Linked DNA regions of Macaca mulatta. The protein of the gene in region 2 interacts with the protein of the main gene of each other region in a pairwise test. Links are inferred from orthologs where the notes say so. Each region holds a gene or a part of one and is shown on either strand. Other genes may lie near its edges.

Region 1 (5,099 bases), on a different chromosome or scaffold from region 2:
GTGCAAACGAGTTCTTAAGTACTCCAACAAATTGGACCTAAACCCCTACTTCCCGGCTTCTCTAGGTGGGATAAAAACAGGAAGGGGTAGGCCGGGCGCGGTGGCTCAAGCCTGTAATCCCAGCACTTTGGGAGGCCGAGACGGGCGGATCACGAGGTCAGGAGATCGAGACCATCCTGGCTAACACGGTGAAACCCCGTCTCTACTAAAAAATACAAAAAACTAGCCGGGCGAGGTGGCGGGCGCCTGTAGTCCCAACTACTCGGGAGGCTGAGGCAGGAGAATGGCGTGAACCCGGGAGGCGGAGCTTGCAGTGAGCTGAGATCCGGCCACTGCACTCCAGCCTGGGCGGCAGAGCGAGACTCCGTCTCAAAAAAAAAAAAAAAAAAAAAAAAAAAAAAAAAAAAACAGGAAGGGGCTCCCCGCGATCATGCAAGGCATACCCGGCCTTTTCCCTCTCGGCCCCAGCCCCGTTTCGGATCTACCAGCGGGGTGCAGTCTCCGAGTAGCCTCCTCTTCAAGCAGTGCCAGCCTGTGCCGCGGGTCCCGGGACCCCCTGGGCTCCTCGGCTGGAGCCGATACTGCTGCAGCTGTTTGACAGCCAGGAAGCCGGGGCCAGGAGGGGCGCGGCCTCGGCGCGCGGGCAGCGCCTACCCCTCCTTCGGAATTCCCGGGCCCGAACTTCGCGCCGAGCGAGCCCGCCCCCGTGCCGTTTCTGATTGGCCAGCTCATTTGCTCTCTTCCGCGCCATTGGACGGCTCCCTAAGATCTCCCGCCTTCCGCTTTTTCTGATTAGTTCACAAGTTTTCCCGGGTTCCCGCAGTGGGGAGGAGCCGCCTGGGCGCGGAGATGCGTCGACACATTCTGTGGGCCCAGATTTAGACGCCACTGCGCCTGCGTACACCTTTCCTCCTCCCTACAGTGAGGTAGGACCTTAGGGCGCCCGCCTTGCGCAGGCGCGGTCAGAGGCCGAGGCAGAGGCGGGGCCCGGAGCGAGGCGTAGGGGGTGTGGTCAAGGCGCAGTAGGGGTTCTCGCGGTGGGTAAGGGACGTTCGGGAAGAGTCGGTTGTGGGCGGGAAGGGGCTGAGCGGGGGTGCTGGGAGGGTTCAAGGGGTCCAAAGGGGAAGGGGGAACAGGGGCCAGGTGAAGGGGTAGATGAGGAGATCAGAACAGCCTTAGAGCTCAGGGGCCAACTGGGTGAACAGCCTTGGGTATCTAGGGGAGCAGTGGGGGGAGAGCAGAGCCGGCTAGCGTACAGGGGGCGAGAGCAGACTATTGAGAGATGGGGGTGAGGGTGAGGACCAGAACAATTCCTTCAGAAAAAAGTAGATTAGGATGTAAAAAGGGACCGGAGTAGGGATCCCAGATTCGGGTAAAAAATAGATTAATGAGGGTGGGAGGGTGGGGGGAAGGTCTTAAAGTGCCCACTATGTGTTAGGACTCGAGAAAGAGGAGGCGGGCGGCAGGCATGGAAGCTGAGGGGATAGTAGAGAGAAGCTGAGAGGACAGCCGCAGGAAAGATTTGGATGAGATGTCAGGACGCTGGCTTTTCTGCCTGGGGATCTAGGCTGCTTGGATTCCCAAGGTCTTGGGAAGGGTCTAGCCCTGCATGTGGCCACATTCAGCTGGGGCCAGGCCTTGGGCCAGCACTTTAATAGGGAAGGACCCAAGAGTCATGGCCTGGTGGTGTCTGGATGGGATTCCCCCAGGCCTTGCTGAGCCATGGAGAGAACTCTGGAGATGGCGCTCAAGACCCCTGCACTGTGTACCTCCTTTCTCACCTCTGGCCAGGGGCAGCAGGGACCATAGAAACTTAAGGAGGAGGGTAAAGGCACTGCCCAGAATCCTGAAAGTATGAGTAAAGCCTCAGAGCCCCTCTCGGTCTGTCTTTTTCAGTAAATTCTCTCCACTTGATAGTTAGTTGCCTGGGTTCCCTGAGGAACCAGGTTGAGACAAGCAAGTGAATTTGGGGTATCTCCTACTTCTTTGGGGAAGTAGGAAAAGAGCTGAGCATCGGGTGGACCTGGCTGTAATTCAAGGATTATGACTTTGTTATTGTAGGGGCTTTCTCTTTGGAAGGTGGCCTGAAAATTGAATTGGAGTGTCTTTGTTTCTCCTATTGTCCAGGGGAACATAGATGGCTGGAGACAGAATCTAGAGCCTTCAAATAATGTGGAGATGTTTCCACCTTCAGGTCAGTGGGACCAGACAAGGGGAGTGGTGGTTGTCTCTGCCTGGGAAACTGACCATCTTTGATTTTGTAATTCTTCAGGTTCCACTGGGCTGATTCCTCCCTCCCATTTTCAAGCTCGGCCCCTTTCAACTCTGCCGAGAATGGCTCCCACCTGGCTCTCAGACATTCCCCTGGTCCAACCCCCAGGCCATCAAGATGTCTCAGAGAGGCGACTAGACACCCAGAGACCTCAAGTGACCATGTGGAAACAGGATGTTTCCAGTGACAGGCAGGAGCCAGGGCGGAGAGGCAGGTAGGGATCCATCCTCGCTGTTTTCTCAGGCTGGCTTGCTAGTGACCCTTCTTCACTGGAATAAACTCCTTACCCTATTTCGGCCCTAGTTTCCAGAACCTACTCATTTTTATGCAAGCAATTATTAGTTCCTGCAGTGCTTAGATAATAAAGCAGTGTGCTAGGTGCTAGGGATGAGGATAACAATAATGAATAAGACAAATCCTGACTTAAATTTGTAATTAATAAGGAATCTAAAATCTTAAGAGGGGAGATAGATTGACCATCAACTGATGGTAAAGCATAGTATGAGGCAAGATGAAGAAGTGCAAACTAGAAGTAGAGACCCAGCACTGTGGCAGTGTGGGTTCATTCTGATGGAAGAAAGCCTTTACAGAGGACATGCTATGGGAGCTGGCCATGCTGTCGTATTGTCTGTAAACATTCTTATTCTTGTTGTTTCATGTGTCTTCCCAGATGTACTGGGATAGCATTCTGCCATTTTGCTCTAGAGTAGGATTACATTAGAAGCAGCAGCACAATGAAGAAGAAGGAGCACTAGACTGGGTGTCAGGAGACAGAGACTCTATTTCTAGTTTGGCTACCAGCTAGAGGACATTTGGCAAGTCAATTTCCCTAGCCTACAGATCCCTGATACTTAAAGAAAGAAAGAAAATAAAGAAAAGGCCAGGTATGGTGGCTCACACCTATACTCCTAGCACTTTGGGAGCTGAGGCAGGAGAATCACTTGAGCCCAGGAGTTCAAGACCAGCCCGGGCAACAAAGCGAGACTTCGTCTCCACAGAAAATAATTAGCTAGCTGTGGTGACATGCATTTGTAGTCCCAGCTACTCGGGAGGCTAAGGTGGTAGGATCACTTGAGCTCAGGAGTTGAAGGCTGCAGTGACCTATGATCCAGCCACTGCATTGAGGCCTGGGTGACACAGTGATACCCTGTCTCTAAAAACAACAACAACAATCTCCTGTGGTCCTGGGTGTCAGAGAGACAGCTGCCTCAGGAGCCACGTTCCAAGCTAGATTAAACTTCACATGATATTGGTAGACAATGTCTCCAAAGGCTGGCACTATGTTATTTATGTACTGTTCTCTCAGACTCCTCATAAAGTATACCTAACACTCAATAAATGCATTTTAACTAGCACCTGGCCTCACCATATTGATACTGGAAGCTCAGCTCTCTCTATGCCCATTCCTCCCTCAAACTTCTTGCCCTTAAATCAGAATTGAGAAGTCTCTGTTCTTCCAACCTTTCCACTTAAAATGTGTGGCCTAAAAATAAAAAATAAATAAGACAAAAAAACACCAAAAAACAAAAAGAATGTGTGGCCTAATGATATACACATTTGATGTTGAATCTGTCTGTATGTAGCTCTCTCTAGGGAGATCATGTTCCATCATCTCAGCCAGACTTTAGGTCCTGTGAGTCCAGGCACTGGACTTAACATGCTCAATAGGGCTTTGATGAATGATGATGATGTCAATGCAGACATCCCCATACCCCAGCTTCAGCACCCCCTTCACCTCCTCACACGGGGGCAGAGAGGTCCTCTTTTCCTTCTGGCTATGTTTACACCCTCAACTATCCTTCCAGCACTGGAGACAAGTCTCACCTGCACTAACCTGTCTTTGAAGGTCCTGGGAGCTGGAGGGGTCACAGGCCCTGAGCCAGCAGGCTGAGGTGATCGCTCGGCAGTTGCAAGAACTGCGGCGGCTGGAGGAGGAGGTCCGGCTCCTGCGGGAGACCTCACTGCAGCAGAAGATGAGGCTAGAGGCCCAGGCCATGGAGCTGGAGGCCCTGGCACAGGCAGAGAAGGCCGGCCGAGCTGAGGCTGAGGGCCTGCGTGCTGCTTTGGCTGGGGCTGAGGTCGTCCGGAAGAACTTGGAAGAGGGGAGCCAGCGCGAGCTGGAAGAGGTTCAGAGGCTGCACCAAGAGCAGGTGAATGCAGGGGTGGGAAGGATTTAAATTCATAACGGAGAGCTGGGCAGTAGCTTCCAAGCAAAGAACAGGTATTGCAGAAGAGACTCTCCATGAGTAGTGAGTAGTGGAGTGATGAGACCTTTGGTGAAAAGAAACACACATGGCCTAGAAAGATGGAGAATTTGGTTATTTTGATCTTAATTCAGGTTGCACTTTTTCCCCAAGACTCAGGTGGCCTCCCACGACTTGAAGCCCTGCTTCCTTTTCTAGTAGGAAGTAGTTTGCCTCCCTGCTTTACTCTGGGTACCAATTCATCGGGGGTATTGTGGAGGGCAGTGAGGAAGGTGGATATAAGGGGGCTATGGTGGACTGGGAGAGAGAGATTATTCAGTCCGCAAACTCAGTGCTTACTCTTTGCCATCTCAGACTCAGTGACCAAATTAGCCTGAATCCTGCCTTCATGGATGGAACTGACAGCCTCATGGGGGATACACACATCCACTTTTAATTTAATCATAATTAATTGCAATCAGGAGGAGTGCCTTGAAGGCGAAGGACTAGAGAGCACTAACTTAGTCTGGGGTTCAGGGAAGGCCACTGTAACCAATTGGACATGTCAAGGAAAGAAACCATAAGGCCGGGTGCAGTGGCTCACGCCTGTAATCCCAGCATTTTGGGAGGCCGAAGCAGGTGGA
Region 2 (4,528 bases):
ATCTCAGCTCACTGCAAGCTCCGCCTCCCGGGTTCCCGCCATTCTCCTGCCTCAGCCTCCCGAGTAGCTGGGACTACAGGCGCCCGCCACCTCGCCCGGCTAGTTTTTTGTATTTTTTTAGTAGAGACGGGGTTTCACCGTATTAGCCAGGATGGTCTCGATCTCCTGACCTCGTGATCCACCCGTCTCGGCCTCCCAAAGTGCTGGGATTACAGGCTTGAGCCACCGCGCCCGGCGTGTTTGCATTTTTAGTAGGGACGGGGTATCGCCATGTTGTCCAGGCTGGTCTCAAACTCCTGACCTCAACTGATCCACCTGCCTCGGCCTCCCAATGTGCTGGGATTACATGCGAGAGCCACTGCGCCCAGCCAGCAGCTGCTTTTTAAGAGAGGACTTCCAGTACCCTAGGAGCAACAAGAGCTCAGTGAAATTCCAGGGACTTCCATCCCAGCCCCTGCCCCGGCCCTGGAACTCCAAATCCTCCACTTTTTTGGAAAATCTGCCCCCAGCTCCAAACACCTGCTACGAATTACCATGCACTAATTTAAGGCCACGCAAGTTCTGAGAACTCCACCCAGGATCCAAACAAAACCAAAATGATGCAATGAGGAAATACGTTGAGCCTGAACCAAGGACCCCCTGGGCACAGCCTGCCCTGCCATGAGCAGGAATCCCAGGAAACAGAGGCCCCACCTCCCACAAGAAGAGGGGCTGTAGCTGGGGTGCCACTGCCACAGTGCCCACAGCAGGTGTTCTGGTGACAGATCGCTGACACTCAGCCACTCACTAGCACAATGTCTGAGGTCAGGGTAAATGGTGCATCTGTTCATGGCTAGATGAATTCGGAGTGAGTCCTGCTCTAAAACAGCGAACTGAGTCCTCTGACTGTGGCTCCACTACTGTGGCTGCTATTGTTTGTAAGACACTCTGAAATCCTAGCGGAGTGTCCCTGGTGGGAAGTGCACAAATCCTTCCAATCCATGCTCTCCTTACGCTTTTGCCAGGAGGTCTCAGGGAAGGATTTGTCCGAGGTCACAGGGCAAGTGGCAGAACCAAGGATAGAACTCAGAACACTGGGTCTGAGACACGCACAGCTGCCTGCAGGAAGTGCCCTGGTGCTCTCACCTCAGCACACGAACACGCACAGAGAGAGGAGGCGAAGCTTGGACTGGGGGCTGCGGCTCCCTGCCCAGTGTTCCCGCCCACAGCCCCCCTCTTTCAACTGCACATTTTAAAGGCTTCATGAAGAACCCCAAGTGGAAACCCCAACATGCTGCCCTGAATTGTCCACACTCCAGGGGGCTCTGAGGTCCCCACGTGTCGCCGCGTAGTCTTCAGACCCCTTACCAGAGGTGGTGAGTGTGACGCCATTCACTGTCCCCTCCACATCTGTCTCATCCTCGGCGTAGCTCAGGATCAGGTTCTGCTGCCGGCTCGTTAGCCTCCTGTGGATCAAGCAGAGTTAGCAGCAAAGGCTTCCGCCAGGAAGCTTTGGAAAGAACTCACAGGCAGCCAGTGCTCTCGAAGCGCATAGGAGGAGAGGGACCCAACCCTGGCAGGGGCAGAAACCCTGAGGCAGTGCAGTGGTAAGAACCTAAGGACCACGCCCTCAAATCTTCTGTACAGAAAAGCTAATAAAACACCCTAAGTCGTTTAAACAAGTGTCGCTGTGGCTATGCTAAATACAGTTTACAGGAGGGGAAACAGATTTTACAAGTGTGTGTGTGAAGCAGGTAAGAAATTATCTAATTACGCCACGCATGGTGGCTCATGCCTGTAATCCCAGCACTTTGGGAGGCCAAGGCGGGCAGATCACAAGGTCAGGAAATAGAGACCATCCTGGTCAACAAGGTGAAACCCCGTCTCTACTACAAAAATTAGCTGGGCGTGGCAGTGCGTCCCTGTATTCCCAGCTACTTGGGAGGCTGAGGCAGAATTGCTTGAACTTGGGAGGTGGAGGCTGCAGTGAGCCGTAATTGCACCACTGAACTCCACCTGGAGACAGAGCTGGACTCTGTCTCAAAAAAAAAAAAGAAAAAGAAAAAAAGAAAAGAAATTATCTAATTAACAAAAAGCACGAGTGCTCCCGAGGGGAGTCAGGCATGTCCTGCCCTAGGTACTCACAGCACTCCGCCCAGGCTGCCTCTCCAGCTCCTAACAGTGCCAGTAACATCAATGAGAAAATCAACGGGCCAGGCATGCTGGCTCATACCTGTAATCCCAGCACTTTGGGAGGACAAGGTGGGCAGATCACCTGAGATCAGGAGTTCGAGACCAGCCTGGCCAGTGAAACTCCATCTCTACTAAAAATATAAAAATTATCTGGGCGTGGTGGTAGGCACCTGTAGTCCCAGCAACTCGGGAGGCTGAGGCATGAGAATCACTTGAACCAGGGAGGAGGAGGTTGCAATGAGCTGAGATGGCACACCACACTCCAGCCTGGGCAACAGAGCGAGAGACTCCTCAAAAAAAGGTCGGGCACGGTGGCTCATACCTGTAATCCCAGCACTTTGGGAGGCCGAGGCAGGTGGATCAAGAGGTCAGGAGTTCAAGACCGGCCTGAACAACATAGAGAAACCCCGTCTCTACTAAAAATACAAACATTAGCCAGGCGTGGTGGCAGGCACCTACAGTCCCAGAGGCTGAGGCAGGAGAATGGCGTGAACCTGGGAGTCGGAGCTTGCAGTGAGCCAAGATCGCGCCACTGCACTCCAGCCTGGGCTACAGAGTGAGACTCCGTCTCAAAAAAAAAAAAAAAAAAAGAAAAAAAAAAGAAGAAACTCAACAATAGCAGCAGCAGCGAAGCAATTCCTATGTGTTGTTCATTTAATTCTCCCAGCAACTCCAAGAAGTCGACCATACCGGCCGGGCGCGGTGGCTCACGCCTGTAATCCCAACACTCTGGGAGGCTGAGGTGGGCGGATCACTAGGTCAGGAGATTGAAGCCATCCTGGCTAACACGGTGAAACCCCGTCTCTACTAAAAATACAAAAAATTAGCAGGGTGTGGTGGCGGGCACCTGTAATCCCAGCTACTCGGGAGGCTGAGGCAGGAGAATTGCTTGAACCCAGGAAGCGGAGGTTGCAGTGAGCTGAGATGGCGCCACTGCACTCCAGCCTGAGGGACACAGCGAGACTCCATCTCAAAAAAAAAAAAAAAAAAAAGAAGTGTACCATTCTATTACACCCACTTTACAGACAGAGAACTCGGGCAGGAACCACCTGACCTATAGGGAGCAGTCCCCTGCCCAAGCCACAGAGCTCCCGGAGCAATGCCACCGCAGGAGCAGGCTGGCTTAGACACGGCCTAGGGGGCACTTACTTTGGAACTCGTATCTTGATGTGGATGTAGTGGTCTCCGTAGCCGTAGCTGTTAATCCGGGGGATGCCTTTCCCACCCATCCGAATCTTCTGGTCTGTCTGAGTCCCAGGGGGGATCTATAAAGAAAGAAAATCTGGCCGGGCGCGGTGGCTCAAGCCTGTAATCCCAGCACTTTGGGAGGCCGAGATGGGCGGATCACGAGGTCAGGAGATCGAGACCATCCTGGCTAACACGGTGAAACCCCGTCTCTACTAAGAAATACAAAAAAATAGCCGGGCGAGGTGGCGGGCGCCTGTAGTCCCAGCTACTCGGGAGGCTGAGGCAGGAGAATGGCGTGAACCCGGGAGGCGGAGCTTGCAGTGAGCTGAGATCCGGCCACTGCACTCCAGCCTGGGCGACAGAGCGAGACTCCGTCTCAAAAAAAAAAAAAAAAAAAAAAAAAAAAAAAAAAAAAAGAAAGAAAATCTGTGGTTTCCCCTGGTCCCCAGTTGCTCAAATAAAAAGTTTTCACTGCATGAAGACAATCTTGACAGGAATTCGTTGAAAAGAACCACCACTGGCTCACGCCTGTAATCCCATCACTTTGGGAAGTTGAGACGGGTTGATCACAAGGTCAGGAGTTTAAGACCTGCCTGGTCAACACGGTGAAACCCCGTCTCTACTAAAAATACAAAAATCAGCCGGGCATGGTAGCGTGCACCTATAATCTCAGCTACTCGGGAGGCTGAGGCAGGAGAATTGCTTGAACCCGGGAGGCGGAGGTTGCAGTGAGCCGAGACTGCCACTGTACTCCAGCTCTCAGTGACAGGGCAAGACTCTATCTTGGGGGGGAAAAAAAGGCCAGGCACAGTGGCTCACGCCTGTAATCCCAGCACTCTGGGGAGCCAAGGCGGGCGGATCACGAGGTCAGGAGATCGAGACCATCCTGGCCAACATGGTAAAACCCCATCTCCAATAAAACACAAAAAATTAGCTAGGCATGGTGGCACGTGCCTGTAGTCCCAGCTACTCAGGAGGCTGAGACGGGAATCGCTTGAACCTGGGAGGCAGAGACTGTCGTGAGCAAAGATCATGCCATTGCACTCCAGCCAGGTGACAGAGCAACATCCTGCTGTCTCAAAAAAAAAAAAAAAAAAAAAAAGAACGGCCACTGGGCTGGGCACAGTGGCTCACGCCTGTAATCCCAGCACTTTGGAAGGCTGAGGCG

The links.
Region 1: the proteins of DNAJA3 (region 2) and TCF19 interact in a two-hybrid assay, tested with the Homo sapiens proteins (2 studies listed by BioGRID and IntAct). The two-hybrid records come from large-scale screens. The link is inferred for Macaca mulatta from reciprocal best matches to the Homo sapiens genes DNAJA3 and TCF19.

The regions. Positions count from the first base shown.
Region 1 is NC_133409.1:151,906,762-151,911,860, forward strand, and holds the start of TCF19 (transcription factor 19), read right to left. Parts: upstream 3,227-5,099; 5' UTR 3,197-3,226; intron 2,487-3,196; coding exon of another isoform or gene 2,273-2,486; intron 2,195-2,272; coding exon of another isoform or gene 2,128-2,194; exon of another isoform or gene 2,062-2,127; intron 1,853-2,061; exon of another isoform or gene 1,826-1,852; coding exon of another isoform or gene 1,610-1,825; exon of another isoform or gene 1,064-1,609; intron 1,042-1,063; exon of another isoform or gene 817-1,041; intron 736-816; exon of another isoform or gene 271-735; 5' UTR 1-270. Other genes in the region: CCHCR1 (coiled-coil alpha-helical rod protein 1), read left to right, coding at 1,610-1,825, 2,128-2,194, 2,273-2,486, 4,119-4,422. UniProt on the Homo sapiens protein: Potential transcription factor that may play a role in the regulation of genes involved in cell cycle G1/S transition. May bind to regulatory elements of genes, including the promoter of the transcription factor FOXO1.
Region 2 is NC_133425.1:5,699,407-5,703,934, reverse strand, and holds part of DNAJA3 (dnaJ homolog subfamily A member 3, mitochondrial), read right to left. Parts: intron 3,712-4,528; exon of another isoform or gene 3,438-3,711; coding exon 3,322-3,437; intron 1,446-3,321; coding exon 1,348-1,445; exon of another isoform or gene 205-1,347; intron 1-204. UniProt on the Homo sapiens protein: Modulates apoptotic signal transduction or effector structures within the mitochondrial matrix. Affect cytochrome C release from the mitochondria and caspase 3 activation, but not caspase 8 activation.